2 linked regions of the Caenorhabditis elegans genome follow. The protein of the gene in region 1 interacts with the protein of each later gene in a biochemical or structural test. Each region holds a gene or a part of one and is shown on either strand. Other genes may lie near its edges. The genes, in order: flp-5 and egl-6.

Region 1 (16,528 bases):
TGCATTCAAAGCAAAAAAGACTTACCATGTTGATGTATCAGTTGAATGCTGATGAGTTATGAATCTCCTGGACATTATTTATAGTCGAATTCTCTGAGCTGGATCCAATAAGTATTAGAAATTTTGGTAGCTGATGTATGTGAATAGAATTGTTAGATTTCGAGTTTTGGGGCGTAGGATGACTTAACAAAAAAAGTCTAAATAGTAGACAAGCTGACAGTTTGTTCATGAACTTTTTTGTTTGTCGTTCAATAACTCGCAACATATTGGAACATTTTGATTGGAGTCTGGATTCCCCACTGTGCAGTTCGTAAACGATTTAATCCAGTTTAATAAAATTGACTCCTACTGTGAAACAAATTGTATAAATACTTTTAGCAGTGCTGGGAGAGCATCAGCATTCAACTGATACATCAACATGGTACGTTTTTTTCTGCTTCGAATGCAATAATTAAATACTCTTTCAGTTCCTTCGCACCCTCGTCGCACTTTGCCTTGTTTCTGCTATCAGTACCATTACCTTGCAACTCTGTCAAGAATTCTGTGCTGGTGTCAATGGTGGTGAATCCTACGCATACTGCTCTCCATGGATCAGTTTTGCGACTCAAACCAACAAGACTTGCTACAACCTCTGTGTTCATAACTGTGCTGCTGTCTACGATGGATCCTGTACTACAGACCCTGACTTCAGATGCTGCTTGAAAACCACTCCAGCTAAGACTCAAGAATTCAAGACTAGTGGTTGCAACAAACTTTATAATAATCTGTGAGAGAAACACTCTACTGCCATGATATAATACATATTTTTATCGAAAATACTAACTTTTGTTGTTTACACAATATATTCAATTTTTTTCAAGGAACAGTAGTAAAAGTCATATCGTAGGGTTTCAATTAGGGCAGAGCGGCAATCGGCTATCACCGTCTTTTTGTGATTTTTCGACGATCGGCGATCGGCTCTACAACAATCTTTGAATGCGTATATGTTTTTCAGTCGTTTTTGCACATTGATTCAATAGAGATTTTGTTCAAAACAAACTATCTTGGTACATGGTGCCATCCAAAGAGAAATTTCTGTTTTAAAAAGTCATTAATTCTGAGCCGAGACAGAAGAGAGCAGCAATAATGAATTTATCGATTCTGAATTCTGATTTCTTGAATTCTTGAATTCAATTAATTCTTTATCGGTATTTTTCTTCTGAATTTATCGAAACTTTAGTAGAAATCAAATTTTGAAACTACAGTTAGGTTATTTTGAATAAAATCTTTATTGCATCAAAGTACAAAAACTTAATAAACAAATACACTTTTAAAGATTATTGTAGAGTTTGTTGCAACCACTTCTCTTGAATTCTTGAGTCTTCGCTGGTGTGGTTTTCAAGCAGCATCTGAAGTCAGGGTCGGTAGTGCAGGAACCATCGTAGACAGCAGCACAGTTATGAACACAGAGATTATAGCAAGTCTTGTTGGTATGAGTGGCAAAACTGATCCATGGAGAGCAGTATGCGTAGGATTCACCACCGTTGACACCAGCACAGAACTCTTGACAGAGTTGCAAGGTGATGGAGCTGATGGCAGAAACAAGGCAAAGTGCGACGAGGGTGCGAAGGAACTGAAAGAGTATTTAATTATTGCATTCAAAGCAAAAAAGACTTACCATGTTGATGTATCAGTTGAATGCTGATGATTTATGAATCTCCTGGAAACTATTTATAGCAAATTCTCACAGCTTGAGGCAATGAATATTGGAATATTGTAAATAATGGTAGCTGATGTATATGCATAACGCAGTAGGGAGCAGTTATAATGAAAAAATTTGAAAAATGGCTCGTTGCTTGAATGCTAACTTTATTGTAGTTATTTCAAAGAGAAACAACTAAAAGAATTGAATATCGGATTGATTGTTTACTTTGATATTTATTATCGTATATAATTTCCACAAAAACATTAAAAATTTTTTACTACTCGTTGAGAGACAGCTTGACAGTTGACCGAACAATTTCATAGACTTCCAAAACTACTGCACAGATGACAAACTTGAAACTAAAAATCAAAAAAAACGTGGATGCTACAAAGTAGAACCTAGGACAGTGCGATTTTCAGCACTTTTAGCTAATCATGTACGTGGATCTGAAGGGATGTGACCTGACTAACTAAGCTGATCTGACTCTACATCAGTTTTACAATTGAAGATTAGATGTATGTTGAAAAGTTTTTGCGACAATACACACCATCTCTTCGAAGGTGTGTATCTTCGAAGGTGTACATTTACGGTGGAACACATTGATAATTCCTTACGGCATTTTGAACAATTTCGAAGTTATACATATGATTGTTTTTGTTATCTTTCTTATCGCATGCAAAAGTATCATAGGTAATATTACTGGATCGCAAGATAGATAGAACCAAAACTATAACGATAAGTGGAATAAATTATTTTTTTTATAATATTTTACAAAACTACTACTATATTTTATTATTTCGTGAAATCTAGTTTTTGAAACAACATCAAGCGTCTCAAATTCTGATGTAAATAAATAAATATTTTAGATACATACATATTTAATATCGGTAATTGAAAATTTTTATTTTTATTCTGAAGACAACTTGTGAAGTAATATATCAATATACTAACTTGTTTCAAACAATTTAATTTTTTTGAAAATAACTACAGTAAAGTTAGCACCCACGCAACAAGTCATTGTTCAGATTTTTTAATTATAACTGTTCTCTACTGCGCTTTTATGAATACCAGTCAACCAATATTCCTAATATTTATTGGATCCAACTAATACTGGAATTACGGTCACTATGTTTGACACTATATGAGATTACATTCACTACTACTACTTCAAGAACAACTGAATAATAATTTTTATAAGCATTCAAGAATAATGTTTCCGATGCAATGTTTTATTATGATATATCAAGATGACAAATGGTTTTTCTTACAGATTATTATAAAGCTTGTTGCAGCCACTAGTCTTGAATTCTTGAGTCTTAGCTGGAGTGGTTTTCAAGCAGCATCTGAAGTCAGGGTCGGTAGTGCAGGAACCATCATAGACAGCAGCACAGTTATGAACACAGAGATTATAGCAAGTCTTGTTGGTTTGAGTGGCGAAACTGATCCATGGAGAGCAGTATGCGTAAGATTCACCACCGTTGACACCAGCACAGAATTCTTGACAGAGTTCCAAGGTAATGGTACTGATAGCAGAAACAAGGCAAAGTGCGACGAGGATGCGAAGGAACTGAAAGAGTATTTAATTATTGCATTCAAAGCAAAAAAGACTTACCATGTTGATGTATCAGTTGAATGCTGATGAGTTATGAATCTCCTGGACATTATTTATAGTCGAATTCTCTGAGCTGGATCCAATAAGTATTAGAAATTTTGGTAGCTGATGTATGTGAATAGAATTGTTAGATTTCGAGTTTTGGGGCGTAGGATGACTTAACAAAAAAAGTCTAAATAATAGACAAGCTGACAGTTTGTTCATGAACTTTTTTGTTTGTCGTTCAATAACTCGCAACATATTGGAACATTTTAATTGGAGTCTGGATTCCCTACTGTGCTGTTCATGAACGATTTCATCTAGTTTAATAAAATTGACTCCTACTGTGAAACAAAATTTATAAAATCTTTTGGCAGTGCTGGGAGAACATCAGCATTCAACTGATACCTCAACATGGTACGTTTTTTTCTGCTTTGAATGCAATAATTAAATACTCTTTCAGTTCCTTCGCATCCTCGTCGCACTTTGCCTTGTGTCTGCCATCAGCTCCATCACCTTGCAACTCTGTCAAGAATTCTGTGCTGGTGTCAATGGTGGTGAATCCTACGCATACTGCTCTCCATGGATCAGTTTTGCCACTCATACCAACAAGACTTGCTATAATCTCTGTGTTCATAACTGTGCTGCTGTCTACGATGGTTCCTGCACTACCGACCCTGACTTCAGATGCTGCTTGAAAACCACACCAGCGAAGACTCAAGAATTCAAGAGAAGTGGTTGCAACAAACTCTACAATAATCTTTAAAAATGTATCCGTTTCTTCAGTTGTGGCACATATTTAATAAAATCTTATACAAAACAACCATCTCTCTTTATAATATTTCGGAATATGCCAGGAAATAAGGGACTGAGATTACCGGTCATTATATCACATCTATAATTTACAAATCTGGTTTATTGTAAATTTTTGATGGTTTAAACTGATTTATTCAATAAAATATTGTCTTTTTCAAAATCCATTGAACAATGCAAATGGATTTCCAAACTACCAGATTAATTGAAAAGAGAGGCAGAAGGTTGCTCAAAGTTTTTTTGTTGAAAAATTGAGGCATTCAATCTTTCAAAAAATACTAAAAGTTTTAATATATAAAGTTGTACAGGATGGAGTAACATTTCTGGAAATGTTTTATTGTGACCAATGACAAAATTTTTTAATGCAAGGCATATACTAATGCATTTATTTGCAAAAACTATTTATTTGTTAAGCGACTCGTTGTTTTTTATTAAATTTAAATTTGAATCTTGTATATTTGTTATTCCATTTTCACTTTTGGAAGCTACAATTTCTGTCAGTTTGTGTCAAGTTGAGCAACCTTTCTGGTGATTTGAAATGGACAAAAAAAGCACTTCCATTACTACTTTTTCGGCAATGACGCCGACTTTTTGAAATGTCACCTCATGTTATGGAAGAATGGACTTAAACAGCACAAGTTGGAAATGGGAGCAGAGTAGAAATGACGTACTTTCTGTGCAAACATAGTGGGTCGTTCCCTATCCGCTGCGTCCCAAAAATACACCCCGTCCTGAAAAAAACACCCGATTTAGAATAGGCAGAATTTTCTGAAAAAATTTCGCATTCGCATAACTTGGCATAAAAATTGCAAAACATAGCGCATAGAAGTCTGCATATTTTTAATCGATGATAATTCTTTTGATGAAATAAATGTTTTTTTTCGCGTTCCAGTAGTTGACGAAGATAGATAAAGTTTGTGGATTCGTCCAAATTTCTATAAAAACGGAAATGTTCAAGTTGGAATTAGTCGTTTCTGCTTGTTTCCTCGAACAGAAATTGAAATGAAAGTTTCGCCAGATTTTTTGATTACAAGTTGTCACTTTGAAGTTGGTAAAAATTATGTATAAAGTGAAAAGCAAAAGCACTTTGAGATTTGACAGATTTATTTGTTTGCCATAAATTTACGAAAACTTCAAACACCAAATAAAAACGCGTAAACTTCGAAAAAATGTGTACAGCCAGTTATAATATATATGATAATAATTAGTTATAGTTATAATATAAACTATTCGCTTGCAGCAATCTTTTTAAAGTGTTTAAAATCCGGAAAACTAATATCACGAAAAGTAAATTAAAGGTGGAATACGACCAGTGGGAAAGTGATTGAAAACTATTCTTATGATGCTAGAATGACCAAATAAAATAATAATTTTGTTTGAGTCAAAATGAGGGGAAAACTGAATTTGCGCCACTTGTCAAAAAACTGTCGGAACATAAATGTTTTGAGCACGATCTAAACTAAAAACTGGAAGGAAAAACACATTTTGATCAAAATTGGCAGTCCACCAAACCCCGAAAGGTAAAAAAGGATCCACCATTTACAAGAAATTTTCCAAAACAAATTTTCTACAATTATTTTGTGGTCATTTCAGTAGAAAATAAGAGAATTTGACCTTTTCCATGTTTTTTCTCAAAAAGGTTAAAAAAAATAAATATATTCATTTTTCTTTTTTCTGTTTCAAAGAAAAAACAATTTTAAACATATTACATTTTGATGAGTCCAATCCACCAAACCAATTCAGTAATGAAATATCATCAATACCTGATAAATTGTATTTCCAAGCAAAACACCTAATTTGTAAGATGAACTATTGTGCATTGATCAGCGTGAATATCATAGTTTTGCAATGATCTCCAGAAATTGCTCCAAATTTACGAGAGCTTCTAGCCTCATACGCGTTTTACAGTTCTCCAAATTATAAAAAAATGGGCGTTTGTCGCAATGTACTCTTACTATTCGTGCGTATTATTGAGTTGTTAGATGTACAGTTTTGAAATGTTCAACAAATTGAAACATTTTATATAATATATGATATTTGAAATTTCCTATTAGTGTTTTTTTTTTGCTTCAATATTTATTTCTGGTTTTGTTTTATTTATCTCAATTTTACAAGAGTTGATGAGTGTTCCCAAATAAATCAAATTATTATTACTCCCACTTGTTGTATGACTGCAAGACTGCAAGCCTAGTCATGATATCATATCCCAGCATCTTTGTGTTTTACCCACCTTCACGTGGCCATAAAATATTTGTCACTCTCTAATTTATTTCCAGTATTATTCTCAATGTGTCCACTGATTGAATAGTTAAAATAGTTAGTTATCACCCACAAATCAAACGACTTTTTTGTGTCCGTTTATGTTTTTAGGTCTGAAAGAGTTGATGAAGTTTCTGCATGACTGGTCGCAGTCAACGTCACCTAAAATCTTGATTAAATTTTTTACGCTGTGCGTGATTTTTAAATTCTTTACATGAGTGCGTTCCAAATCTTTCCGCCTACTCATGAGGTGCCCTTTCTAACACAAGCACTCCGAGATACCAAATAAACTGCCATGTCTTGTGACGTGTCAATCTCAATGGGTTGAAACTGAGCTGCGTGGGGTACCTAAATTTTGGATTAAAATAGCAAATCGTAAGGTTCATGCATTGAAAATGACAAGTTCATGGAAGCTCTCTGCCTATGAGAGAGAATATCAACCGTTATTTTTCAGTTTTCACGGAATAGAATTAAAAGACTTCTCCGGGAATAGCATAGTCGCTGCGAAAATAAATACAAGTTATGTGTTGTTCGATCGTTCCAGGCGTGTAACGCTGAAGACTTAATAATAATTGTAAGGCATCCTACATTCCCTCATAAAAATACATGTCATCTTTGCTCAAAGACGCGGATAAGTGTCTAAGCACATCTCATCAATTCTATTGTCTAGTGTCCTGAGAGGGTGTTTTAAAATTTAGACGGGCACGTTTGTCACCACTTCCCTATCCTTCTTCCATAATCGTCATTGTTTTGTTTATAAGAAGTTCTGAATTTCTGAGCTCAAAAAAAGTTATTTTTTAAAGAAACAGAACTATTGAACTCAAAGTGTGAAACCGTAATAGAAGACAGGGAGGTGCTAGCTGTAACCAAAATTCGAAAATAAATTATTTTTGAAACCTCTGTTCTAACCAACTTTTCAATTTTCTGTAGAACTCAAGGCTACCAAAGCCAAAAAAAATTAGTAAACGAAAAAACATTTCAAATAACATCTATACTGCCACCACTTTCTAAAAACCAAATTGGGATGATCGTAAGTTTTGAAGATTAGATATGTGTATGGAGATTTAAACAAAAATAAGTTTTTAAGTATTTTTGACACATGCAATAGTAATACAAAATGAAATGATTGTTCAATTGTGTTGATTCCTTGGCATAAAATTTCAAACCACATTCAAACATTGACATGTCATTTGATTGACTAGATTGCAGTATTTAGTTAATATTTCGATTAAAAAAAAGAACGCACACAATTTTTGGAAACATATTTAGGTGAGACGTCTAATTAAGTCCATATTTTATAATGAATTGTTTACGTGTTTCTTATTGTTTTTTTAAGATCATGGATTATGGATACTTGTTATTCAAAAATTTTGAAACATAATAATTTAACGCAACGTTTTTCATTTGAGAAGGCGTCGAAATGGAAAACACAAAGAATATCAGTTCGCACAACAGTTCGAAAAAAATAGGAGGACAAATAAATGAGTGAAAGGGTATATTTCAGGTGGGGACTTTTTAAGAAACACTATGCAGTTAGACAACGTAGGAGCAGTGATTCGACACGAGTTGATTGTTCCTAATTAGCCGAATCGGATGAATTTGGCTCCACGTTTAACGTAGAGCTCGTTGACCGATGGTGAGGCGTATCCATCTTCCTGAAAATTCAATAAATGATGATGGCATAATGGTTAGTATACATGAGAAGTTGACGTTTCGGATGCGTCATTACTCATATCCATGTGTTGGCATATGACATAGTGCTTTTTAGCGTGATATTTTCATATATGTATTCCGTTTGTAAAGATAGTGGGGGAGCGGGGTTTTTAATATTTCAGAAAGCTAATAGCTTGTAATGCAGTGTGTACTCAGTCACGTCGATCTTTCATGAAATTCTGACGTTTTTCTTGTGACTTAAAAGTATTCCGTCTTCGCTGGAAATGACAGGCATCGTTTATCCTTTATTAGTCTCATCATATACTTATTAGTCGAAATTTGTAAATGTTCATATACGACTAGAACAATTTTTTTAAGGTGCTCCCCAGCATTACAAAAAAATCTCTAGACTCAGCAAATATCAAAACAGATAAAAATCAAGATTTTCAGAATATAATTTGCATACGTAATAAGGGGGTCGAATAGGATTTTCTACAATGGTAGCAGCTTAAGCTATGTGTACAACAAACACAAGGAAACAAGCTTTTCAGAACCTTGGTTTTCGACTTATGCAGTGATTCACTGAAAAAATTATTTTCTTGAAATACTAACCCAAGTGTTCCTTGATCGCCCAAATCTGATAAACTTGGCTCCTGCACGACCGAATCGGATGAATTTTGGCTTTGGTGCTCGTGCTATTCTTTGGTATTTTTCAAGGTAGTCCGCGTCTTCGGCACTGAAAATATTCGGTGTTATTAGATTGAAAAGTCCATATTTGTGAACAAAGAGACCGTTGTTTTATTTTTTTAAAATGTCATAGAACCTTTCCTGTCTTTTTTCTTACGTATTTCACACGTCAATATTGAAAATGTGTCTATTTTAATTACCACCATTTATCATATTTTTAATATTGTGTTTCGGTTCACCACGACCTACATTTCTGCATATAATTGTTCAAAAATAATTGAAAAATGAAAAGATAAGAAGGTTACCACATTTTCCTTTTTGTCGCTTAACCAACTACTTTACTTTTCCAAACTCAATGAGCACATGCGTCATGTTAGCACGCCAAGTGCAAAATTAAACGCTTCATTTACCAATTGTATTGAACGACTAGAGCAAAAAAGTGGTGGCAACTTTTTGAAGGAGACATGTTTTGTGAGTGCTCTGATCCCTCCAGTGACTTTCTAAGAATGAAACAGGGAAGTTTCAAAGTTGCCTGATATTAAAGAAGCGGGATAAATCGAGAACGGAATGCTAATTTGTGTTACATTGAAGGTCAAAGAAGCTAATTTTATGAATTCCACCCTCGCTTTTCTATTAGGTTAGAGACTAGTCCTCAACTATTTTATTGTTTGACATACTTTTGTTTTTGTTTTCAATGCTTGGAATTCAATGTTCTGAATGGGAAATTCCAAGCTTTAAAACAAAACAAACAGTTTAAAAATCTGAGTATTTCGAAAAGTAATTTCAAAAAGATATTGTCATTGAACACTTCCATTCTTTGTTTATAACGTCATCTCTATTTTTTCCTTGCTGAAGACTCTGGCCTCCCAACAAAGTTGTTCCAATTTTTTAAACAATAGTATGGAAAGAATGGGTCAAAGTGCATCTCACCGGAAGCATCGAATGCAAAGCGAATAAGCAAAAAGCGCGCCTCCTAGTACTCGCAATTGAATTTGAATGGCTGATTGATATTTCCGCTTCATCCGACACCAAGAGTCCAACAGACAAGATGGGATCCCCCAAAAAGAATAAACTCACGTCACATTACGATGCTCATGAGAATGAAAAAAAGGGAGGAGACCGGGGTATAAGTTCGTAGGAAGCGCACAAGATGCTAGTAGTAAAGTGAAATGCCGAAGAAAACGAACAGAATCTAGTATGTGTGTTAATCACGCCATTGCATCTTTGTATAATTAGAAAATTACGAAAATGATGATGAAATAAAGTGCATGATGAAAAATGCGTCACTTTTGAGCAATTAGCTGTACAACGATGATTTAATTTGGATATTGAAACTATTTCTGTATTAGTATTTAGTTTTTCTGAAAAAGATAATTTGCTTGTACCTACGACTTTAATAGGTTCCGTTGTTGTTTCAATCTAGACCTTCACGCACCGTTAGAGTTTTGGTTTTTTGTGTTTTTTTTTCTGTCTGAGTTGGTAATTTATGTCAGCCTTTTTTAAAATCCTTTTAATAATTTTACTTTAAGTCCTAGCGCCTTTTCTTTTTAGGAAGTCCATGATAGTCTCAATAGCCGAAGCAATGATCACAATCAAGAACAAATGGCCAGTTTTGATCAGTTGGGGTTTAACAATTGGCTCATCACAGCACCTGAACCCTAGACATCAAATTAACCTACCTTGATTGAGCGGAAACACATTGGAAGACAAGAAGGGTGGCGATGAAGAGGAAAGCAATCGTGGTGCTTCGGCTGCTCATAGTTGCGAGGAATGACTGTTTCGTAAAAGGCGGGTGCTGTCGTGGAAGCTGAAAGGCGGGGACGCTGCGCATGGCTTGCCAACTGGCTCCGCCCCATCTCTACTATTATGTGGAGCGGTTGGGAGCTGAACTAGAGATGATGGGAAATAAGGAGTAAATTGAAACTGTAGTTGTTATTTTTGGGAAGAGACTTTATCTAAAAGAGTTGTTATTATAGTAGGAAGAGAAGATAATTGGAGAAATGAAGATATCAACATGTCTACTACAACAGAAAATAGCAATATGCTTTTGATAACTTGCGTCAAAGTTGCATGACATAATTTGATGAATTAGCTCGTCTATATTGGCGATCAAAAATATAAAAAGAATCCTCCAGCAGATTTCTGAATTCTCTGCGCAATTCGTCACACGACCCAAAAGCTTTTTTAGGTACTTTTAGGTACTTCCTTCCAGACTTCAACTTTAACAAGCTCTTTTTGCAAAACGGAATGCCCTCTATGTTTCCCATTTAACCCCGTGGAGATTGAAAAGTAAACGATCTAGTAAGCCTCTGGGGGAATAGAAGGGGTACCGGAAAACTAACGACTTAACCCAGAGTTTGATAATAGAAATGGAGTCAGAAGCCGAAAAGCTGATTGAAAACAAATAATAGAGTAGGATTATTTGTTTTCGAACCAGGGTCACTATCAATTGGGAGAAAAATAATAATACGAAAATCAGAACAAAAAATTAATCAGAAACCTTTCAAATTTCAAATAGACTTCTAGTGATTGTTTTAGTACGTCATAGAGCATCAACTTTGGTTTTTAGAAAACTTGCAAATCGATGTAACGCTATTCCCAAAAAACACTCCGACGATCAACTATAAATTTTGTTTATGTACCAATTCATAATTTCCACGAACCGATAAAAGTGCTCATGTACCGGTTTTACTTCAAAATGAGAGTTTTGTATTGTGTTCACTTGCCGAATTCTCATTTCCGTTTTCCATAATATACACAAGAAACAATATCAATTGCAAGATTCATTTCAGATCCACCCGTTTCAAGCCCACATTGCTTCTTTTTTCTTAGATACCACAAAAAAAAACAACTAAACTAAAGTTAAAAAACTGAACTATTCTGTTTCTAGGCGGCGCGTTCTCCGTAGTAAATGGGAGATTCTCCGAAAACTGCAAAATGTCAGTGTTGAATGACCGATTTGACATGTCGGAGGAGGAAACGGCGGGGCCTGACATGACGTGTCCGTTTTGGCCCACAAAAAAGTTTTAATTAAAACTGGAAGCTACGGGAATGAAAAAGTCTACGGGCGAGCAAACAAACCGTAAAGCCTAGAATTTTCAGCATATTGAATTTTTACGCGAACTTTGTATTTGAACTTTTGCTCGATGACTTTCTTTACGACATGTGTGAATTTTAAGATCATGTTTCATTTTCTTAAAGAAGTTTGTTTTCAAAAAGGTTTATTCAATACTAAAACACAACAGAACCAATTTTTGTTACCCTCTTTCAGTCTTGATTAAGAGTACTAAAATAATGCAGAAGTGTACCAATTGGCCATATCATCTGTACTTTTTGTGTTCAATATTACTTTCCAAGAGTTGTTTTATTGTGTTCACGATCTTTATTTATACTGTCATCAAAGTTTACAAATTTGGTACACCCACATTTCAATGGTCATATTACACAGATAAATGTCATCACTTCCCGAAATCTGCGGAAATCAATGGTTTTTTCATTTCCTATTAAAAAACATATTCCGGAGATTTTGTATCAATTTTAGATTGAAGTGTTTCTTTTTTACATTGACAGGTGCAGAGATTTGAGATGGAAATCGCTTAAAATTAACAAGTTTTTATTGTAATAATTTAGTAGTTTTTAGATTTTTTTACATCTGAAACTTTCAGTCAAAATCCGAAGATTGAAGTTTCCTGCAAATATTTGTGCATAGAAATTTGCAATAAAGTGAAACCTATTGAAGCTATTGTCACTCTAACTTCATCAAAATAACATTCACATGGAGCAAATTAAATCAACGTAGTAGAAAAACCATTTACTATTGTCTTCACCAAGCTCTCAAATATCAGTTTGCTGCAAAATGGTCAAGTTACTTGATTCATCTGTGTTCCTCAGATCAAAGGAGTTGATTCAGCAAAAAATGCCACCGGAAAGAAAATGTCTTGTAACACAATACATCCCTTTTTTTGAAACACTATCTGAAGAGTTGATGCTTCTAGTTGATATTTCAAACAAAAGTTCAGATATTTGAATCCAATTTCACACGAGAAAATGTTCAGATCTCAATACTCCACTCTGGAAATGCAGGTGATATTATTTGAATGTCAATCGAGAATTTACGTAATCACACATTTCTCTGTATTTCAGATTGAAGCACAAACTCTTTGCCAATCAAAAAAAATCCTAAGACAAATGGGTGAAGTTTTTAATAATTTCGCAGAGGAGAGGGCGAACATTTGCATTTTAAAATTCAGAAGGCGCTGCGAATGACGATGAAACGTTTCCTGTTGTTTGAACTTTTCAAGTGGGGGCGAATGCAGAGGGTTCTGACGTTTTGTTGAAATCTAATCACCCCCCAGCGCCGTTTTTAGGATGTGGGAGGAAGCAACACACAAGTGTATAAGCTGCATATAAATGTGTAAAGGAAAAATTGGATGACAATAAGGTTGCAAAACGTACACATTTAAAAGTGGTAACACGATATTTCAAAATTTAAGTCAATTCCTCTATAGTTTGTTTATTAATAAACAAAAACCTTTATGTCGAAATAAAGTCAAAGCTCATCTGTAAGATCTGGAAAACAAAGATCAAAGATTCTGATTTTCACGTTTTCAATGTTGTCACTTTTGATCAATTAAGACAAAAGGGTAATCCGTCTCCCCAAATTCCAATTGAAAGTGCTAGCTGATGTCTCATGAGTTCTCATTTTCAAAACAATGACCTCAAAAACCAACCACCCTCAGAAAGAGAACAGCTGAAAAATGCGTATTTTTCCAATAATCTTTGATATCGTTTCTCCTCTCAGATAGAAACACAAACTCAATAAGTTGGAACATGGATAATATGTGAATAACAGTTAATTGAACGGCGAGACATATGTAACTTCTTTGTTGATGATTTTATTTAGGAAGTTACGCGATTTATGTCGGTTTCAGATATTAAAAAAGGAACTGGAAAACTTGATATCTAGAACTATCATTAAAAAGTATTATATTGGCAGTTTACGAATTGGCCGAAAAATAATTTACTGCTGGCCTAATTGTTCAGTCAATAAACAACTCTGTAAAATATATATTTGTAACAGATCGGCGACAAATTCGGCCTAAAAAATTAACGTATCGGAAGTTTGTCTGAATAAATTTGAACTGGCTTTAAAATGTCGAATATAACGAGACTTCTCAAGTTACTATCAAACTGATCTTTTTCTGATACCTTCTTTCGTGATACTACGATATTTGCTACAAGTTGAAAAGTTAGGAACAAAAATAACGTCATCACTGTTTTTATATACAAATACAATTTTGCAACTGCCTTTTTCCGAAATGTACCCAGTTTTGTCTGGTTTACATACATAAATAACATAAAATGGGCAACATTCGGTTCAAACAGTTTTTCCTACTAACTTGAATTGGTTTGTTGTACTTTATCATTAGGATTATTTTTTTTCAAATTCTATACTCTTTCAACTGTTTTAGGTTTAAATCGAAATTGACAGATTGAAAAATTTTGTTTGAGCAACTTTAACCGCGCGGATTGCAGCTTTCTATCTGAAATTAGCATATCTAAAACTAATTTTTATGCACATTGTTTCTCTATTGTGAAAATGTGTCGAATTATAGTTTTTGGAATCATATTTTAATCGAATACATGTCAAAATCTTAATGAAAAAATAGCACTGAGGTGTCCAGGTAATAACTTAATTTATTCATTGAATTAAAAAGGCTTGAAAGAAACATGAAAATGGAATGGTTATGAATAAAGTTGAGAAAATTCTAAAGAAAGTTGTTTTTAATGTCAAATCATAGAAGATAACAAATCATCAGGTTCCGAAATTGCTCAAACTTTTCATACTGTGCTAAATTGACCAAACACATCAGAAAACGCTAAAAACACTTCAAGTTCAAAAGCAAAACAGTTTCAGTCTTCTGTTAGAGTATTGTGGAATGGCACAAGCCTGCACAAAAAACATGACATTTCATAACAGAACAAGGTAAAAATTGAACGAGTTTTGATTTATAACATTATAAGATATTTGTTTTATATTAGGTTAATTTAGCACTGTTTGTCACGTCACTTGTAATCTTTTTGAAACTAAACTTTAGTTGTCTGCAAAATTGTTTCCACCATGCTATGGATTTGATTATTGTGTCAATCATACACATCCGGGATTTTGAAACAATTTGCTTTGACTCTATTGATGTCTATATTGAATTGGTTAGATATTTCCTCAGTTGGCATTTGAGCCCATTTTCTATGATGAAATGGGGTCAGGTTTCAGATCAAAGTCGATACAATGGCAGCTTTCAGAAAAGAGACAAAATTACAAATTTTTGGTACTTACGTATACATTATCTTCGCAGTAGAACATGTAACAAAAATCTCAAAAGAACAATTGAGATTAGGATTATTCGGGGATCATTGCTGTCCTCTGTAACCTTTGACAAAAAAATGAAATCACTGAAAGTCCAGATGTTCTCATTACCTTTCCTACAATCTTGGATTAGTCTCTAGCTCTTGTTCTGAACAATCCATAAACGTTTAAGTTGTTTTGTTTCTCTAGTAAGTTTAAAGAAAATATTAACTTTTTGAGGTCTGAAGTACATATTTCCACAAAATACACGCGCTCCAAATTCTTCAAAAAGTAAAACTCTTTATTTTCTGCAACTTTAACTTTAGGAACTTCATTTTTTGAAATTTCTCATTTCTGGCAGCAATCGCGGTAACTGCTAGTTTTCAGGACTTTTGGCAGCAACGAGAAAATATGAAAATATAATTTTAGAAAACAAGATACCAGGAAGTTGAAAGATGCGAAAAATAATAGACGATAAAATAATCATTAGCTTTCGTCATTAGTGCATAACAAATTTATTATCAGCATCATTATGAGCTACAGACAAATGGAATATTCTGATGTTTACATACATAACTACCGGAAAATCAAACAAAATTAAATGACGAGATAACTCAAGTCCCTCGTGGTCTGGGTTGTACTTTAACCAACAACTTCCACAGATTTCATGAAGAAACAAATCTTGGACTTTGATTAAAAGATCTTGCTTTCTTTTTTGTATTTTCTTGTTCTTTTACATCAACACAATGTGACCATTACCTGGTTATCATTATCCATTCCCACGTGATCCAGAAAATTGTCCTCCTAAAATTTGAATGTCTCTACTCGGTAAACTACCATAAAATTACCGAAAAGAAAGGGATATTCATTTTGTTAATAACAAAGAATGCTGTCATTTCGAAAATAAACGTTAGCACATAGTAGATTGAAGCAACAACCGTGTCCTGCTCTTTGATTTGATACAAATCTGCAACGAAAAGACAACATTTTTAACAACTGAATATCTATTAAATTTAACTATTCATCAAAAATATTCATCAATCTGGATTCATCAAATACATTTATTCTGATAGCAAACTGAGAACGCTTTATATATCAAACTCTAAAACGGACATACCTAGATTGCACAGAGTATGCATTGTCCAAGAAAAAATAAATATTTTTATCAAGCCATGAAGAGCAAGGGCAAGTTTGATGTTACTGTATGCAATAAAATATACAGAGAGGACTGAAAACGAGACGATTCCCGAGTGGAGGAGTGGATAGTAAAAGTTTGACCAGACACCGAATGCCTAAAACAGTTGGCTTGAATATTTCAGAATCAGAACTTGAAGTAAGCTTGCAGTTTCAGACTTTCGAGTAATATTATTCATAAAATTAGAAATTAATGAATGTTCTTTAGCTGACGATACAAGTAATGGTGGAAATAGTTTGCAAATTTTTAAACACTTTTGGAGTAAATTTTGGAGTTTTTAAACACTTTTAGAGTATGTGT
Region 2 (15,810 bases), 2.6 Mb from region 1:
GTAAAATACAATTGTAAATATTTATATTTTATATGGTTTGTTTTTCATTTCTTCTTAGATCTTGTTATTTTTGAAGATTTCTCAGAATTTAAGATATTCTAGTTAAAGGTGAAGTATCGTCACAGGGAATTTTTTCAAACTAGTCGTATATTGCTTAAATGACCGAATATCTCGGTAAAATTTTAAAAAACAAATAGAAATTTTGAAATATTTTTCATGAGCAGTGAAAAGGCGGTGAAAATTATCATACTTTTGGAACTATGACAATTTTTTTCTACAATTATTTATTTTGCAGCAAACTCGAATTTTCAACTAGTCTTTATTTTTGTAATACTTAACATTTATCAAAACTTTGACAGAAAAATGTTCAAAATTAAAAAAAAAACTTTGTATTTTGAAAGAGTTTCACTATTACTATTCGCCATGTTAGACTAGTATAGGAGTATATAAGCCAGCTCCTCACTGTCAAGTACAATTTTACTTTTTTCTAAAAGTTTTGATCTTTCAAAATTTTCTGTCTTTTTGTGACTAGTCTCGTGATTCCAGAGATCTCAGAAAAATTCATAGCCTTTTTCGGAATCTCTTTTTTATCAGAAATCAAACGAAACCGAGCAATTTTTTTTCAAGAATAAATAATGTTAATCTGTTCGAATTTAGTAAATTCACAATGCTTGATAATCCATCCCAACAGACCATGAATTGACAATTTCATAGTTTAGTCAAAAATGAAACTCGCTTCTTCAGTCTAAATGTCATAAACTTTTGCAATTATTACATCATGATCAATTATACCCCTTCAACTTTTATGCAATGCACGTACCCCAAGCACTAAATATTGATATTTTTAACCACCATGAAGTGTTCTTACCATTCTAATAATAATAACCTATTCTCCGTCATCAAATACTAAACAACACTCTGCAAAATATAAAAAATATTATTAACTCAAAATGTGTGATCAGTTGAGTTTTTTCTGTTCCTCTCCGCGAATGGATTCAAATTGAATTTTATTTATTCCAGTAAAAATGTAATTTTCATGAGCGGTTGGTGTTTTTAATGTTTTTCTTTTTTTTTTTCCCAACTCACATTACAAGCATTTTTTTCAGACAATGACACCCATCACAAAAAAAGTTGCGGATCAAATTTTGTTGTGTTTGTCTGAGATTTTACCACTGAGATTTTTCCTGTTTTCTATCTTCTTTGCGAGCTGACATATGTCAGGTTTCTGCGGTTTATTTTTACAGAAAAAACATCCAGTAACTTTCACGTGTGATATTTTTCAAAATCTGATTCGCTAGCCCACGCTGAACTTTACATAATAATTGAACTTTAACTTACATTTTCTAGAAATACGGCAGGTGAAAACTACTTTTTTCGAATTTTCACGGGGGTTTAAGGAATTTTGAAAACTTGTTCAAGCTTCAAATGTTAAGTTTTCACCTGTTATTTGTTTCTTTTACAATTCTTCTGTAAATTTTATATTATATGTTTAGTCATAAACGCTAGCACTTCTCCCAACATTTCCAGAGAGAACAGAGTCCTTATAATTTTAATGACTATGCATAATAATGGAGGAAAGATGCTGATGCATTCTGGAAAATACTGTCTTTTGCTTCATGATTATCACTATTTTCAAATGAACATTTCATGGATATTCTCCTTCCAAAAAACCGGAAGAAAACACTTGAAAATCAAATTTTTCTTTGAACCCTTTGATCAACATTTCATCCTTTTTTGTTTGAAACAAAATTTCAACAAAAAATGCAAAAATCTAGAGGTCTGTCTTCAACTCAAAAACACTACTTGAAAATAAGACGAACGACGATTTTCGTTTTTTTTTTGCGTTGTTAGATTTCTCAACAATATTTTGCTCATTTCTTTATCCCGAAATGAAAATTTCTGATCTTATGCATTATGAATATGTTTTTAGCTGCACGATTCATCTTTCCGCAATTTTTTTGGTGGTGCGGAAACAACAAATCTCAATTTTCATTTATATTTTTCCGTTAGAACATCTTCTCGAACATTTCACCGGAATCTCAGTTAGGAATTGTTTGATGAATCAGATTGTTTGGCTTTTCCATGTAAAAATAAAGTGGCGTCATGTGCCTATTAGTGGCTACAAACGACTTAGGAATTTGAAATGTTTCATTCACAATTTTGTTGCTTTGTCAAATTTCAAAACATTTTAATTTTTCGGCAAATTTCAAATATTTCTACAGCTTCTATCACCAAAGTTTTTTTTAAATACGTGAAAAAATTAATATTTGCAACAAAAACTTTTTATAATTTGAGAAAGAGGTTATTTTTCCGTTGAGAAGATTTGAAAAAGTAGAAAATTTTCAAAAATTAATTTTTTCTTTTATGTATATTAAAATTTGCGGTACTTATTAAGATGTTATGTCAACTTCGAAAAAAAACTGGTTGTTTGCAACGAAACCTCTAGAAAAATTTTTGAAAGACTTTTTTTTCAGAATCTCCAGTCGAGGTTTAGCAAGAACTAGCCCTGTGGTGTGGGGTCGCCCCAATTTTTTTGGGTCGGCCGGGTCGGGCGATCGCAGCCCCGACCCATATTTTGGGTCGGGGTCGCGTCCCCGACCCATGTTTTTCAAAATTGAGAACAATTGTCAAAAACTTATACATTTATTTTTTGTCGAAAAACACGTGTAAAAGCTGAAAATTATGCGGGTCGACCCATCTCGACCTACCTAACAGGCCTATCAAGAACTCATGTTTTCACAAATGTACTGCGATGTTTGGGTTATTTTAGCCAAAAAAGATTTAAGAAATTTTTCTCTATGATAGTTGCTAACTCTTATTCCCTTTAGACTTTAACTCGGCTCTTCATCGTCAACAATTTTGCAAAATTGTGGTTTTTGTTGTTCATTTTTCAAGCTTATAATTGAGTTCAAAGAATGAAGTTGATAATCGAAAATTTTTAAAGGGATTATGTTACGTGTTTTATTCCCCTAGTGGTGCGTTCCTTCCATGAAAACTTTCCTTCCAGGAATTTCGTTTTCAAAATTTTTTGTTTTGTGATTTTATTGAGAAAGAACTCATCTCTATTGTCTAGACTTTTGAGCACGGTATCGAGTAATAATGCAAAACTTCTGAATCATTCTGATTTTGTTCTGTTTTACAAGAATGTTTTAGAAGACAAGAATCACATCCCCGGGTTTGACACAATCCCTAAAGTATCCCGAAATATGTAGTCGGCTCCTGAAAACAATAACAATTTAGTAGACGTATATTAGATAGAATCCATCAGACATCGTACCCACATCATGGGTACACAAATTTTATTGTTTTGGTTTTCAAAAGAAAATATAAATACTTAAATCAAAGGTCTTTGCGTCGCTTTGTAAATTTCTAATTTGGAAAGAGTTTCAGTTCCGTGTGAGACCGAAAGGTTTCAAGTTAGAGCTACTACTTTCTATTCCCATTCCATTAATTCCTCTCCTACTCAATTCTCACGCATTTTAATTGATGTTCACACTTTCATTAAATTTTGTTTTAAAAAATTCGATCAAGTACATTTTTCTTTCCGAATTTCGATTCTAATGATGTTCTGACTTTTCAACTGGCAACTGAAAGAAACACAACTCCGCAGTAATCCATCGGACACATTTGTCTTTGTTTATGATTGCTTTTCACTCCCATCTTGTCATTTCAATGCTATATTAATTGTTTTGAAAGACAGTAGCAGAAAACAACAAATTGCAATTTCAAACGTTTTAAAAATCAATTTTTCGCTGTAAAGTTTTTTTTTTTTTCATTTTTATTTTCTGCGAAAATAATAGTTTTCTATTGGATTACTCAGTGAAAATATCTGATTTCTGGAACCTCTTAAAGCTGGCAACATAGAAAGCTGAAATAAAGAAGAATAGATATCCAATCGTATTCTATGCTATTATTGTATTATTTTATGCGTCACCATCGAAGAATTATTTTTTTCCCAAAGTTAACTTTTTCGCTGATTCTTTTTTATTTGTTACTGAAACCGTTTTTAAGACTTCAGACTTTATTTTGTGATTTTTTTGAAACAGTCGTTAATATCTATCTAGCGTTAAGGCTTCTCTTTTGTTTGTGGGTTTTTGTTCTGCCTAAATGTTTGATTAAAAAGACTTGAAACGGTCAAATTAAATAATGAAACTTCTAAAAAAGATTTTCAAAAATTTTAAAAGCAGGTTAACTTTTCGGAAAAAAATCAGCTGAATTGAGCTACCACTTTAATTTTTGCCATCTTTTCAGTTTCACAAATTAGTTTTCGTTCAACTATCACACTTTTTTGCATTATTTGACAGGTTTTTTTTGAGGTTAATGTCGTTTTCTTGTCGTTTTGCTCACAACAATTTTTGCGAAACTTACAAAAAGTGTTTGATTGAATAATTAGGTATTTGTTTGTTACATTATCATTAACTGTTTTGAAATTTTACTTTGAAAGTTTCAGCTCCTGTTGATAAAAATGGTTATATCCAACTCAAAAATTCAACTCAAAAAGTCTTGCAATTTATTCCTCCACAAAAATGGAAAATTTTATACTATGACGATTGAAAAATACTTTTAAATTCATAGACTCTCAACTGACCGCTGGATTTTTCGTTTGAAAATATTGAAGATGTAAGATTTCCATTGATGATCAAAAATTCAGAGTGCAAAAGAGCAAAGTAGCGGAGATTTAAAACGTCGCCTCGAGTTCGAAATGTGATTTGAAACAAACACTAAAATGTTCATCCCTCGTCCATTGTTTTCCTTGATATATTATTCTACTTGTCACTTACAAATAGACAGATCAGTGTCCGGGTTTGTCTTTTGTCTTGAAAATAGCATGAAAGAAAACATTAATTTAATTATTCAGTCAACCTTCCTTCATTTTGTAGGAGAATGACGGTGTACCGGATTCGAAAATTATTTATCTCAAGCTGCGTTCGTGTCTTTTTCAATTTTCTTTTTTTCTTTCTGCAACAATAAATTTGTCAGAATGTACTGCGAAAACCTTATATGACGGTAGACCGTGCCAGGGGAATATAAGTTCCCGAGACTAGACATTAATCATTTCTACGTACTGTTCTTGAATTTTGAACTCATTTAAGGTATGGAACTTTCTATACTCCAGAAATCTTTATATAATGCTCATGATTTAATAATTTATATAACGTCAAAAGGTTTTTCCTGATCTTTTTTCTGTTGCCTTCACCTCCGTTTCCTCACGTTTTCTTGTTCTTCTCCCTGCATAACTTTGAAAACAACACAGGTCTTTTGTTGCAGATGGAGAACATCATAGAACACAATGACAGCTTTTCAGCAATGAATGACACACTGATCTGTACATACTTCGAATGCTATATCCACATGTTTGCCATGGTGAGTTCAAAGCATTAAAATCTCGGGAGGTGGTTTTGATGACGCGTTGGAAATTTGGAAAAATTGCAAATTTGTGATAGAAGCCATAGGATCATTGTTTCAATTTTGATATTTGCCAAAGAACAGTTTAGGAAAAATTAATTGTTATCACTAATCGGAGAGCAAAATGTCTCAAGATATGAGATTAGATGTGTTGAAGCAACATTCTATTTTGAATATTCAAGAACATTGAACGTTTTTAAAGCACTTATAAACACTATTAATAGTAAAGTAACATCAGTGAAGAGGGGGGGGGGTTTGAATTTACAATCATGATAGTCTGACATGAACAAATATCATTGTGAAACACTCCAAACATTCTTAGATTTTTCAAAATATTCAGTAAAAGTTGTGGTGAATTACCAAGTTATCAAAAAGCATGGACGTTTTTTTTAAGCAACCTCAAAAGTTTGAACCCTTGAAATTTCAAATTGTATAATAGGACAAAAGTCACTGTCTAGACAAATTTACATCGAAAATATAATTTTCACTTGGTTTAAACACTTATGTGAAACTATCAAAGTTGGAGTATCATCAGTGGGAATATTATTTAATCACATTCATAATAGTCAAATATAATCGTGCAACACTTCAAAAATGCTCCGATTTTTCAAAAAATTTCAATCAAAGTTTTGGTAAATTGTCAAGTTTTCTAAAAGTTTGGACTGTTTGAGAAATTTCAAGCAACTCCGAATGTAAATTTTGGAAAATTTTGTCAAATTGGACTCGAAAAGTTTGCTATTATGATTTATTGTAGGGTACTCATGGGTTTTGTTACCCTCAAAATGTTTTAATTTTCTAAGTTACAATTAACCACAAAAACGTGAACTTTTTTGGAACGATTTGGAGAAACGAATGCTTTGTTCCGTACTTTTGTTTTTGTTTTTAATTTGAAAGGTGGAAAATTTAATTTTAGAAAATTAAAACATTTTGGGGGAACAAAACCTATCAGGACCTAATGTAGCGGCATATGAACAGTTTCAAACATTTTCCCCATTTTCGGAGTAGTGTCCCATTCCTCAAATGACCTAAATAATTCTGCAATTCTGCACGTGTACTTTGGGTGTTAGTTGCGTACGAGACTCTATTGGGAGCCGATCGTAAACCCGTTTTACGGCCTCACACTGCGAGTTAGTCTTTCAGAGACTCATCTATGTGTTTCTGACTGGGCACCAGTGAATCAGTATGGTGTCATTTGGGGGGACACGCGATGCACACAACTTGAAAAATAATTAGCTGATAGACAGGGGCACGCGCTACACAGTGGGCGGAACTTCCAACACTGATTTCACTAGATTTCCCCTTTCCCTCCCACTCCGTTTTGACTGGAACGAATATTTATTTTGTCGTCCAATTTTTCCTGCTATCTCGTTGTTAGAGATTGTCGCTGGGATAATCCGGTTGTGAATGGACGTTTGAAGCTTTTCCAGCATTTTGAACCGGAATCTTTTTTGCTTTCCCATATTTGCTTCCCTATTCGGGCTCGTTCCGAAACGTGAAAGAGTGAAAAAATGGGGAAATGGACGGAACTCGGATTGTCGGGTCGTGAAAATGCAACAAATGTCTCGTCGCGAGCCATAACTGACAAGTCCTTTTTGCAGTACTACGATGAAATTCATATTCCTCTTTCAATTTCTATCTGTATATTCGGAGCCGCTTCAAACGTCTTCAATATTATTGTGCTCACAAGGTAAGTTATATATTTCTTTATTTTTTACGGATGAATGTACCTGTTATTCCAGAAAACGGATGCGAACCCCAATAAACATCCTGCTCACAGGTCTCTCCATTGCACAATGGCTCCTAGCGACCAATTACTTCCTTTACTTATTGCTTGAGTATTATAGATATCAATGGTACGTCATGCATCAAATAAAAAAAACAATGTTCCAGTTTTTTGCAGTGTTCAATTATTATGGTCCGAAGCATTTACAAGATATAGATTCTTCAATGTCAACCTGAATACAGTATTTCATACAAGTAAGTATTTTTAGATTGGCAAGCATATTACTGTACTCAAATACTTTTCAGTTGCATTCACAACGACGATCGTTGTCGCAGTGTTTCGGTATTGTGCACTGAAGTTTCCAATTCAAGCGAATAGATTCATCTATAAATGCCAGCCAGCAATCGCAGCAAACGTTATCATTTGGATCATCATTCCTATCATCAGTCTTCCATTGTTTTTCATATCCGAGGTTTGTGTAGTTAATCTTCATATCTCGAATCTGATTTCATCTATGTTTCAGGTTAAAATTGTCGCTCGTGACCACGTTGCTTATGATTTGCAATGCGAAATGGAAGGTCCATTGTACGACCTCAGTTATCAAGAGAGTCCACTTCTCGTGTCCGCAGTTTTCTGGGCATTTGGTATTGTGTTCAAACTACTTCCGTCGTTAATTCTCTCAATACTACTCATTGCTCTTATAAGATCTTTGAAAAGCGTAGAACGAAGGCGTAAAAACTGGAAGCGTACACAAGGTGCCAACATTTGCACCAACTCCGAGAGAAAAGCAAAAAGAAAGTTGACGACCAGACCGCGCACAACACGAATGCTCGTCATCATTCTACTCCTATGTGTAATGGTTAGTCACTATTTAATGTCTGATCGTATGTGATTGCTGTATTGTTACGATTATTTATATTATTTTGTCTATGATTACCATGAAACGTATGTCTGATTCCAGGTAGAACTACCCATGGGTATTCTTAACTTGTGCGTGGCTATCTACGGTGAAGAGTTCGGAAATCGGTATTACGATCCAGTGGGAAATCTGATGGAAATGCTGACGCTGTTGTACAGCTCTGTTAGCTTCGTTCTCTATTGCACCATGTCCAATGAGTATCTCTCCACGTTCCGAGCACTATTCTTCCCATGGACCAGAAAGAATAGTTTAAGAGGAACTCGAAGTGAGTACTTTCAAACAAAATTGTAGGATGAATCATCTACTTGAGATAACTACATTTTACTCACAATTTTTTCTGACTAAAAAGTTCAATTCAAAATACAATTTTTCAGGAAGTTGGAATCATCGACATGACGACGAAACAAAGTCCCCACGAACTTTTCTGATAAATAGAACTGCGCCAAGCTCATATGTCGGGTCTTAATCTCCTTTGCGTAGTTATTCAATTCAACTATAATTCTTGATTTTTGTATTTATCCCGTTGTGAACTTCAATTCGTCTGAAAAATTTGAAAGTCACAAGTTTGAAAATGTGATTCTTGTTTATCTTGAAATCTTCCGAGAATGAATAAAACTTGTATTGTTTTACTAATATAGTGTGTTTTCTCTATTTGAACAGCTTTTAAAAGTTGGAAAACTGAAGTTTCAAAGTTAAAAATCAAAGTTATGAAAAAATAAGTGTTCAATGATTTTGTCTAATTGACTTTTTTTAAAGCAATTTTCTTTAGAATTTAAAAGTTTTCTAAAACCTTAAATATAATTTTTCAGCATACTTGTTAATTTTTTTAAATTCTAAATAGAAAAAATAGCATATTTATCTGCTACACTAACAAATTGAATCGCTTCTTAATCTATCAAAACAATAAAAATTGCAGTATTTTGAAGCGTTTGGTTTTTTTTTGTTGCAAAAAGTCTCAAGTGTTCATATCTTGACAGACAGTCTTAGCGGAATTTTTAAACGGAAAGAATAATATTTTCTGAACACCTTCAAAAGTATTCTCCTGTCAGTGAAGTTAATACGTAGACGTATAGCGATAAGAAGTTTTTGGGGTCACTTACGTAGACAATGAGTTACTACATCCCGGAATGCTTTTTTATGGGGTTATTCAAGTAGTGTCGAAAAATTAAAAAGGATAGAGAAATGACGTGACAACTGTATTAAAATTTTTCTCTGCTTCTAAACTTTCCGACACTACTTGAATAACCCAATTAATTGAAAAAATAATGGTAAATATTTTTCAGCCACTGAATTGATACGAGTTACAGTAACTCGTTATCCACATAACCAATGAAAAAAAGAATGTAATATGAACTTTTTCATACAATTCTTTGAGTTTAGCAAAAAGTGCACAGTAAAATTTCGAACGACAACTAGGATTTCAGATGGGGGTTTCAGATGTAAATTCCCCCGTAAAAAAATTTGACTCACATCAGTGTGGCTGGGTCTGAAGATAATTTGCACTGTTTTCTAGTTAGAGTAAACATGAAACAAATACTAATGAAACCAAAAAAAAAATACAATTCTTGCGGCTACTTCTTTTTTGAAGCCTGAAACTTCCCTGACTTTTTTGTGGAAAAAATATTCTAGAACGTTCTACAACAAAAATATAACAATCTATAAAGCCAACTGATTGAACTTTTGTTTTTTGTTTCATTGTCAAAACTTCAGGGCTCATCCTAATTTGGGCTGATTAAACTGACAAGAAAAAAGAAAAAAGAGCAAATGGAAAAACAAACACGAATGACAGTTGACTGGGGGAGGCAAAGAAACGAATTGCAAACATTCGGGTATCTTCACACATTCCGATTTGTTCCATTGTTTTATCTTTTTTAGATGATGCTTCCAACTTATCAATTCCTAATCTTACTTTCCGTTTCTGCAAAACAAGTGTATGGCGTTGAAGGTAAACGTAAGTTTTGAATGATTTCTGAATTTATAAATGTGGTCGAGAACACATATGTTTTGCTCTCGGTTATGATATCTGGTGAACATGGTCTCCGAAGAGTCTATACAAGTACTCATATACAAACCAAAAAAACAAGAAAACTTAACGTTTTCCGGTAAATGCTTTTTTTTCGTTCCAACAATTTCCAAAGTTTTATTTTTTATATTATGTTTTCAGTTGGAATTCCTGGAACTGAGTGCCTGTTCGGAGGAATATGCTCGGGTGGATCTATTTGCATTGATATTTTGTGTTTATGCGTGGATGGGGAAAGAGAATTTGACGGACAATGTGTGGATCAATCAGTTTATGATTCAAAAGTTAAAGAATCTGGTATGAGCTTACTAGTTTGGAAAAATGATTAATCTGAAGAAAGAGTAGTGCATGTGAAAGTGTTATTGAAATACTAAGAATAAGATACTTATATTCCTATGCAAACAATTACAATAAAGAAACAACAGGAAATTCTGGTTAAATTTGAAAAAAGCAGCTGAAAATTAGAGAAATGGAGTTTGAATTAAAGTCTTTAATACTGTATGTTTTGTTATTAACCCTAGCTTCCTCTGTGTACTTCAAAACTTTAAGTTTTATATATTTCATTTTCTATATTAAATAAACGAATAATTAAAATTTGGCACCTGTAGTCCCTCTAAAACTGAGCAGTGTCTTTTCAGAATCCCTGCACGATGACAAGCCTGAAAATCTGCCAGCAATTGGTTTAGCAGGTCATCCGTGCGGTCAAGGAGGAGTCTGCAGACCGTCGACAAAGTGCATTGAAGGCACCTGTAAATGTAGACAGGGTTATAATCCGTCTTTCGGGGAGTGTATTCGGAATTTGAATGGTGAGATTTGGGTTGTTTCTGGAAGAGTAATGAAAGAGACAGCGAAAATGAATTGTGCTCAGTTGTTCTCTGGCGAATAGATTTAAAATGATAAATGGTATTTTCTATCAGTATTGCATTCGAAAATGTTTTTTTAAATATAAGTATTGCACATCTTTTAGCCTTTCTTCCCGTTCAGTAATGCAAGTGTTTTCTCAACAATTTTAGCTTTTTTTACTTTCTATGACAGCTTACAAAAACCAAATCGATTTCGCAACTTTTGTGCAAATTCAAATTTCAATTAGTGAAAATCAGTAAAATGAAGCTCTGTAACATGATTTTTCGCCTATTCAGTTCGGTAACCAAACTAAGCTGTTTTTTTCAGTTGTAAAACCAACTTTTCGATAAAAAATATTACAGAAACAAAAAAAAAAAATGGTTGATTTGAAAATATGACTTATTTGTGTGGAAAAATTTAACCCAACCTGAAAAAATGCCTCAAAGTGACAAGTTGCCAAACAGAACTGTCGCACAAAGACAATTTTGCATTTCGTGAACTAGTTGAAAAAAAAAGTAAATGTAAATATCTCATATTGCTTAATAATTTTTAATAACCGTGAGATCCTTCATTTTCTGAACTTTGCTTTCAAAATCGAGGTTCCGCCAAATAAATTCTATAAATAAAAGATGAATGAGCTTGCAATTAGAATTACACAAAATCGCATTTATCCAAACAAAGCTTGTACGAAAACATCCATGCTTTTTCTTCTATTTTCAGTTCTTCGTCACATTCCACGTGCATTCATTCCAAATCATAGGTCGATTCTTCGATTTCCATCTTAAACAATGTATTTTTTTGAAAGAAGTTTATTTGCATTGAATCAATAAAATGAATGAGATAATGATAATAGGAGGTCGAGAACGTTATACACAAATTAAATTTTGAAAAGAACAAAAAAAAACAAACAAGAGCAGATTTCTTTCCATTAAAAGCGTGGAAATCAGAATACCCTAAAACATATGGCCACCGCGTCGATTTGTGATTCGGTAAAAAGGATTTGATTCTTGGAAAATAAGAGTGATAAAAATATTTAAACTGCGAAATGAAGGCACACAATGAGCAAGATTTCTGTGAAAGAGAAATGAAAGGAGAATATTGTACATTCTATACTAGACTACATCAAAACAGATTAAGTATTTAGAATGCGTTTTGAATGGCAGAAACAGGGTAAGATCAGTGAGTAGATGAAGCTCTATTTATAAAGCTCATCAAGTTCTTTGCGGAAGGCCTTCTCGATATTTTTTCTTTTGAGCTTCAAGGCTTCGGTAAGAAGCCCGGAGGCTGGGGTCCATGGCTCGTGACAAATAAAGATTTTTTGTGGAATTTCGACGCGTTGAAGTTTGGCTGAAAATATTGATTTTTATTTTGGAGAAATTCGTGAATCTTTGGCATTTTAAAAGTGGAATAGGGCCAATGGGAAATAATTAAAATTCATTCAAAATTTTTCAAAAATATTGGAAATTTTTTTATGTTGTCAGAAATTGATGAAAATTTAGTTTACTCTCAAAATAACTCGAAAATGTTCTTTGAAAAATTTTATTATGATTCCTGATCATCTCAGCATCATAGGAATGATTTTTAAAAATTTTCCCACTGGTCATAATCCTTCTTTAAAAAATTCCGTTAAAACTTACAAGCTCCATATTGAGCCAACTCCTTTTGCAATGCCTCTACAACCTTCTTATCTTCGCAGAGCTTCTCAAAGTTATCATTGCTTGCACCAGCTTTACTGGCCAATTGAGTTAGATTCTTTTGATTTGGAACGACCAACGCAACCAGGAAGCTTTTGTTCGAATCACCATACACGCAGACGTTGTCAACATTTGGATTAGTCAAAAGATTAGTTTCAACTTTTCCGAGGGAAATATATTCACCGTGAGCCAATTTGAGCAAGTCCTTCTTACGGTCTGAAGGTCAAATTGAATATGTTTTAATTTTAAAAAAGTTGAATGTTTTAGAAAACTTACCAATAATCTTGAGAGATCCATCTTCGCGGAATTCACCAATATCTCCAGTTGCGAAGAATGTTTTTCCATTGACTTTAACAAACTCTTCCTTGGTTTTTTCGTCATTTTTGAAATATCCCAACGCAACATTTGGTCCACTAATAAGAATTTCTCCTTGTGGAGGATCATTTTTCGGTGAGTATCCAGCCTCTGCCCATTCTTGCAACAGAATTTCGCAACATGTGAGCGGTGGTCCCACAGTTCCAGTTGACAAATCATGAATGTCGGCAATAGTTCCTCCTCCGCAGGTTTCAGTGAGCCCGTATCCTTGTACAACTGGACAGCAGAAGCAAATGTTCATGAATCTTTGTGTTTCTGGGCTCAATGGAGCTCCTCCAGAAAGAATTTGTCGAACTTTTCCTCCAAGAAGTTTACCGATTCTATTGAAAACAAGCTTGTTCAAAATAAAACTAGTATATCCTTCTTCATAACGGGACCGTTTTCTTTCGTAACAAGTTTTGAAGAGTTGCTTGAAAAGTTCACTGTTAGCGTTAACCTCATCGATGACAGCTTTGAAGATGCGATCCATGACAGCAGGGACACAAGCCATAAGAGTTGGCTGAAGAACCCAGCAGTCTCCGTGCTCTCCTTTCATAATTTTTGGTGCTCTGTCAAATAAGGTCTGAGCTGATGAGTAACCAATGCGGACTCCTTTAGTGAAAACGACCATTTCTGCGCATACTTCCAAAATGTGAGCAAGAGGGAGATATCCGATATATCGGTCATCTGGTCTGAAAACAAAACCCAATTAACTAATTTTAGTTTCAGTCGGTAGTGGTGGTAGCTAAAAATCTAGAGGTCACGATTTCACGCCCTGCTCCCCTCCTAGCCCTAACCAACGTCCACAGCTCGGAAGTAACATAAACTAAAGCCAAATGGGAGCACGTCCAGGAATAGTCTACCTAACTTCTATTTTACACCATAACAAATTACCCGAGAACGATGTTGAAGGCTTGTCCAGCGGTAACAGCAACAATATTCTGATGAGAAATCATAACTCCTTTCGGATTTCCAGTAGTTCCAGATGTGTACATGATGAAGGCGAGATCATCTTTCTTACTGCGAGTTGGTACTGGGTAAGCTGAAAATTAGAAATTATTTTTAATTTAATTTGGTTTATTTTGGTAAAAGTTTATAATAAGTCTTGCAGTTCAAACCCGGGTTGTTAGACTGAAGACACTCTACTATGTAGTGATGATTCTAGTTGAAAAACATAGGACATTGGGGAAACAGTAGGTAACGTAGAATAAGTCGGGGCTAGAAGAGATTGCAGGCGGTTATTACTGAAACTTTAACAAACAAAACACCCCCAAGCAACATACAATACTCACGCTCTCCGCGGCTGAGAAGCTGGTCAAAAGAAAGAAGGGTGAATGGAAGATCAACATCGACCGACTCTCCACGAGATGCTGGATCGACACTATCAAAGAAGATAATGTTTTCGATGGATGTGGCTCCGTTGCTCATCGCCTTTTTGACTTTCGAGATGAGAGCTTCCGAAGTGAAGATGGTCTTGGCTCCAACTTCATTAATAGCAAACTGAACTGCTTCGTCTCCAAGAGTAGCATACATTGTTGCAACTGAAAGTTTATTTAATTTTAAGAAATATTATAAGAAAAGGTATAAAATTTGTTTTTACTTGGAAAATTCATTTTCATGCAGGCCAAAGCAGTTGTCATCCATTCTTCTCTGGTCTCGGCAAAAAGAATAATTGGCTCCTTCTCCTATAAAAACTTATAACTGTTAAAGCAAAGCTTCAATTTAAGAAATACCTGCTGCCCTAGGCTCGTCAAACCCGATGCAATCATATTAACCCGTTTGTCAACCTGAGCATAGCTTCTCCAGTGATAGTCTCCCATTTGCCATTTTTCAAAGATTTTTCCGTTTGATTGTTTCTCCTTGTGGACTTTAAGAACTTCACGAGTCCCCATACACGGTTGGTTTCCGTAACGTCTAAAGTCAAGAAAAGTTTAAGTTGACTGTTTGGAAAGTGGAGATATTGGTAGTTCGAAAAGGTTCGAATATATTTGACGAAACTCACAATGAGAGTTGTCACAAAAATCTGGAATAATTTGATAGTGGTTCTAGTCATTGAACTTTTATCTTTCAAATCCAGTTAAACATGTGCATTTCTTTTTAACAAACATACCGTGCGTTCAACTTTTATAGAACTCTCTTGCAATATGGAACTTTGTATCTTCTAGAAAATTTTAATAGCAAGTGTTGAAAAACCTATGCTCCCCAATTCTTATGAAGGTATCTCAAAAATTGCGAAAATTAAGTCACAATATTAAAAAAAAAGCCCGTTCAACTTCTATATCACCCATCGGTTTTTAACTGTTTTTGAAAAAATATCAAACCCCTCAACTAGAGGAGGTTCTATAGAAGTTGGACGCACTGTAGAGCGTCAGAACATATGCTCTAGTCAAAATTGAAAAAAAAACATCTAATCAAAAAAGCGTCAATGTTCAATAATTATTCTAAAACTACAAAACTATTAGCTCATTTGTCTGCTTTTTTAGTATTGCAGACACATGTACCAATCAAAAATATCTTCTACATGCAATATTCTTTTCAACTATCAAATATTGCATGTTTTAATGTTTTGCTGACTAACAAAACATAAACGTTACACAATGTTCAAACTTTTTGATCAAGATCACATCCCAATGTTCTCACACCCTACATTTTTTTCTACTACAGTTTCAGTACGGAAATAGTGTAGTCCGAAACCAAAAAACAAAATGCAACAAATAATATAACAGTGGCTATCTGAAACACTGATAAGCTACCTGCTATGCGGTCTTTGAAATTGTGTATCAATGATTTCTAGTCAAACAACACAACACGTACCGGACACATTCTTCCCATTGAGTACCAAGATCATGGA

What was found.
Region 2: the proteins of flp-5 (region 1) and egl-6 interact in a test that uses a peptide from one of them, tested with the Caenorhabditis elegans proteins (one large-scale study listed by BioGRID).

Annotation. Positions count from the first base shown.
Region 1 is NC_003284.9:8,522,240-8,538,767, reverse strand, and holds flp-5 (GAKFIRF-amide), read right to left. Parts: upstream 10,448-16,528; 5' UTR 10,447-10,447; coding exon 10,367-10,446; intron 8,737-10,366; coding exon 8,613-8,736; intron 8,003-8,612; coding exon 7,928-8,002; 3' UTR 7,735-7,927; downstream 1-7,734. Other genes in the region: nspc-5 (Nematode Specific Peptide family, group C), read right to left, coding at 26-28; nspc-4 (Nematode Specific Peptide family, group C), read left to right, coding at 419-421, 468-770; nspc-3 (Nematode Specific Peptide family, group C), read right to left, coding at 1,310-1,612, 1,658-1,660; nspc-2 (Nematode Specific Peptide family, group C), read right to left, coding at 2,949-3,251, 3,297-3,299; nspc-1 (Nematode Specific Peptide family, group C), read left to right, coding at 3,690-3,692, 3,739-4,041; C03G5.14 (Serpentine Receptor, class BC (Class B-like)), read right to left, coding at 15,867-16,000, 16,151-16,325. UniProt on the Caenorhabditis elegans protein: FMRFamides and FMRFamide-like peptides are neuropeptides. GAKFIRF-amide has an excitatory effect on dissected pharyngeal myogenic muscle system.
Region 2 is NC_003284.9:5,925,854-5,941,663, forward strand, and holds egl-6 (G-protein coupled receptors family 1 profile domain-containing protein), read left to right. Parts: upstream 1-6,732; 5' UTR 6,733-6,914; coding exon 6,915-7,093; intron 7,094-7,145; coding exon 7,146-7,259; intron 7,260-7,306; coding exon 7,307-7,383; intron 7,384-7,434; coding exon 7,435-7,601; intron 7,602-7,652; coding exon 7,653-7,988; intron 7,989-8,090; coding exon 8,091-8,313; intron 8,314-8,422; coding exon 8,423-8,514; 3' UTR 8,515-8,679; downstream 8,680-15,810. Other genes in the region: C46F4.3 (EB domain-containing protein), read left to right, coding at 9,924-9,999, 10,213-10,365, 10,707-10,874, 11,632-11,696; acs-17 (long-chain-fatty-acid--CoA ligase), read right to left, coding at 12,107-12,258, 12,549-12,821, 12,882-13,651, 13,854-14,001, 14,243-14,500, 14,560-14,644, 14,693-14,873, 15,774-15,810.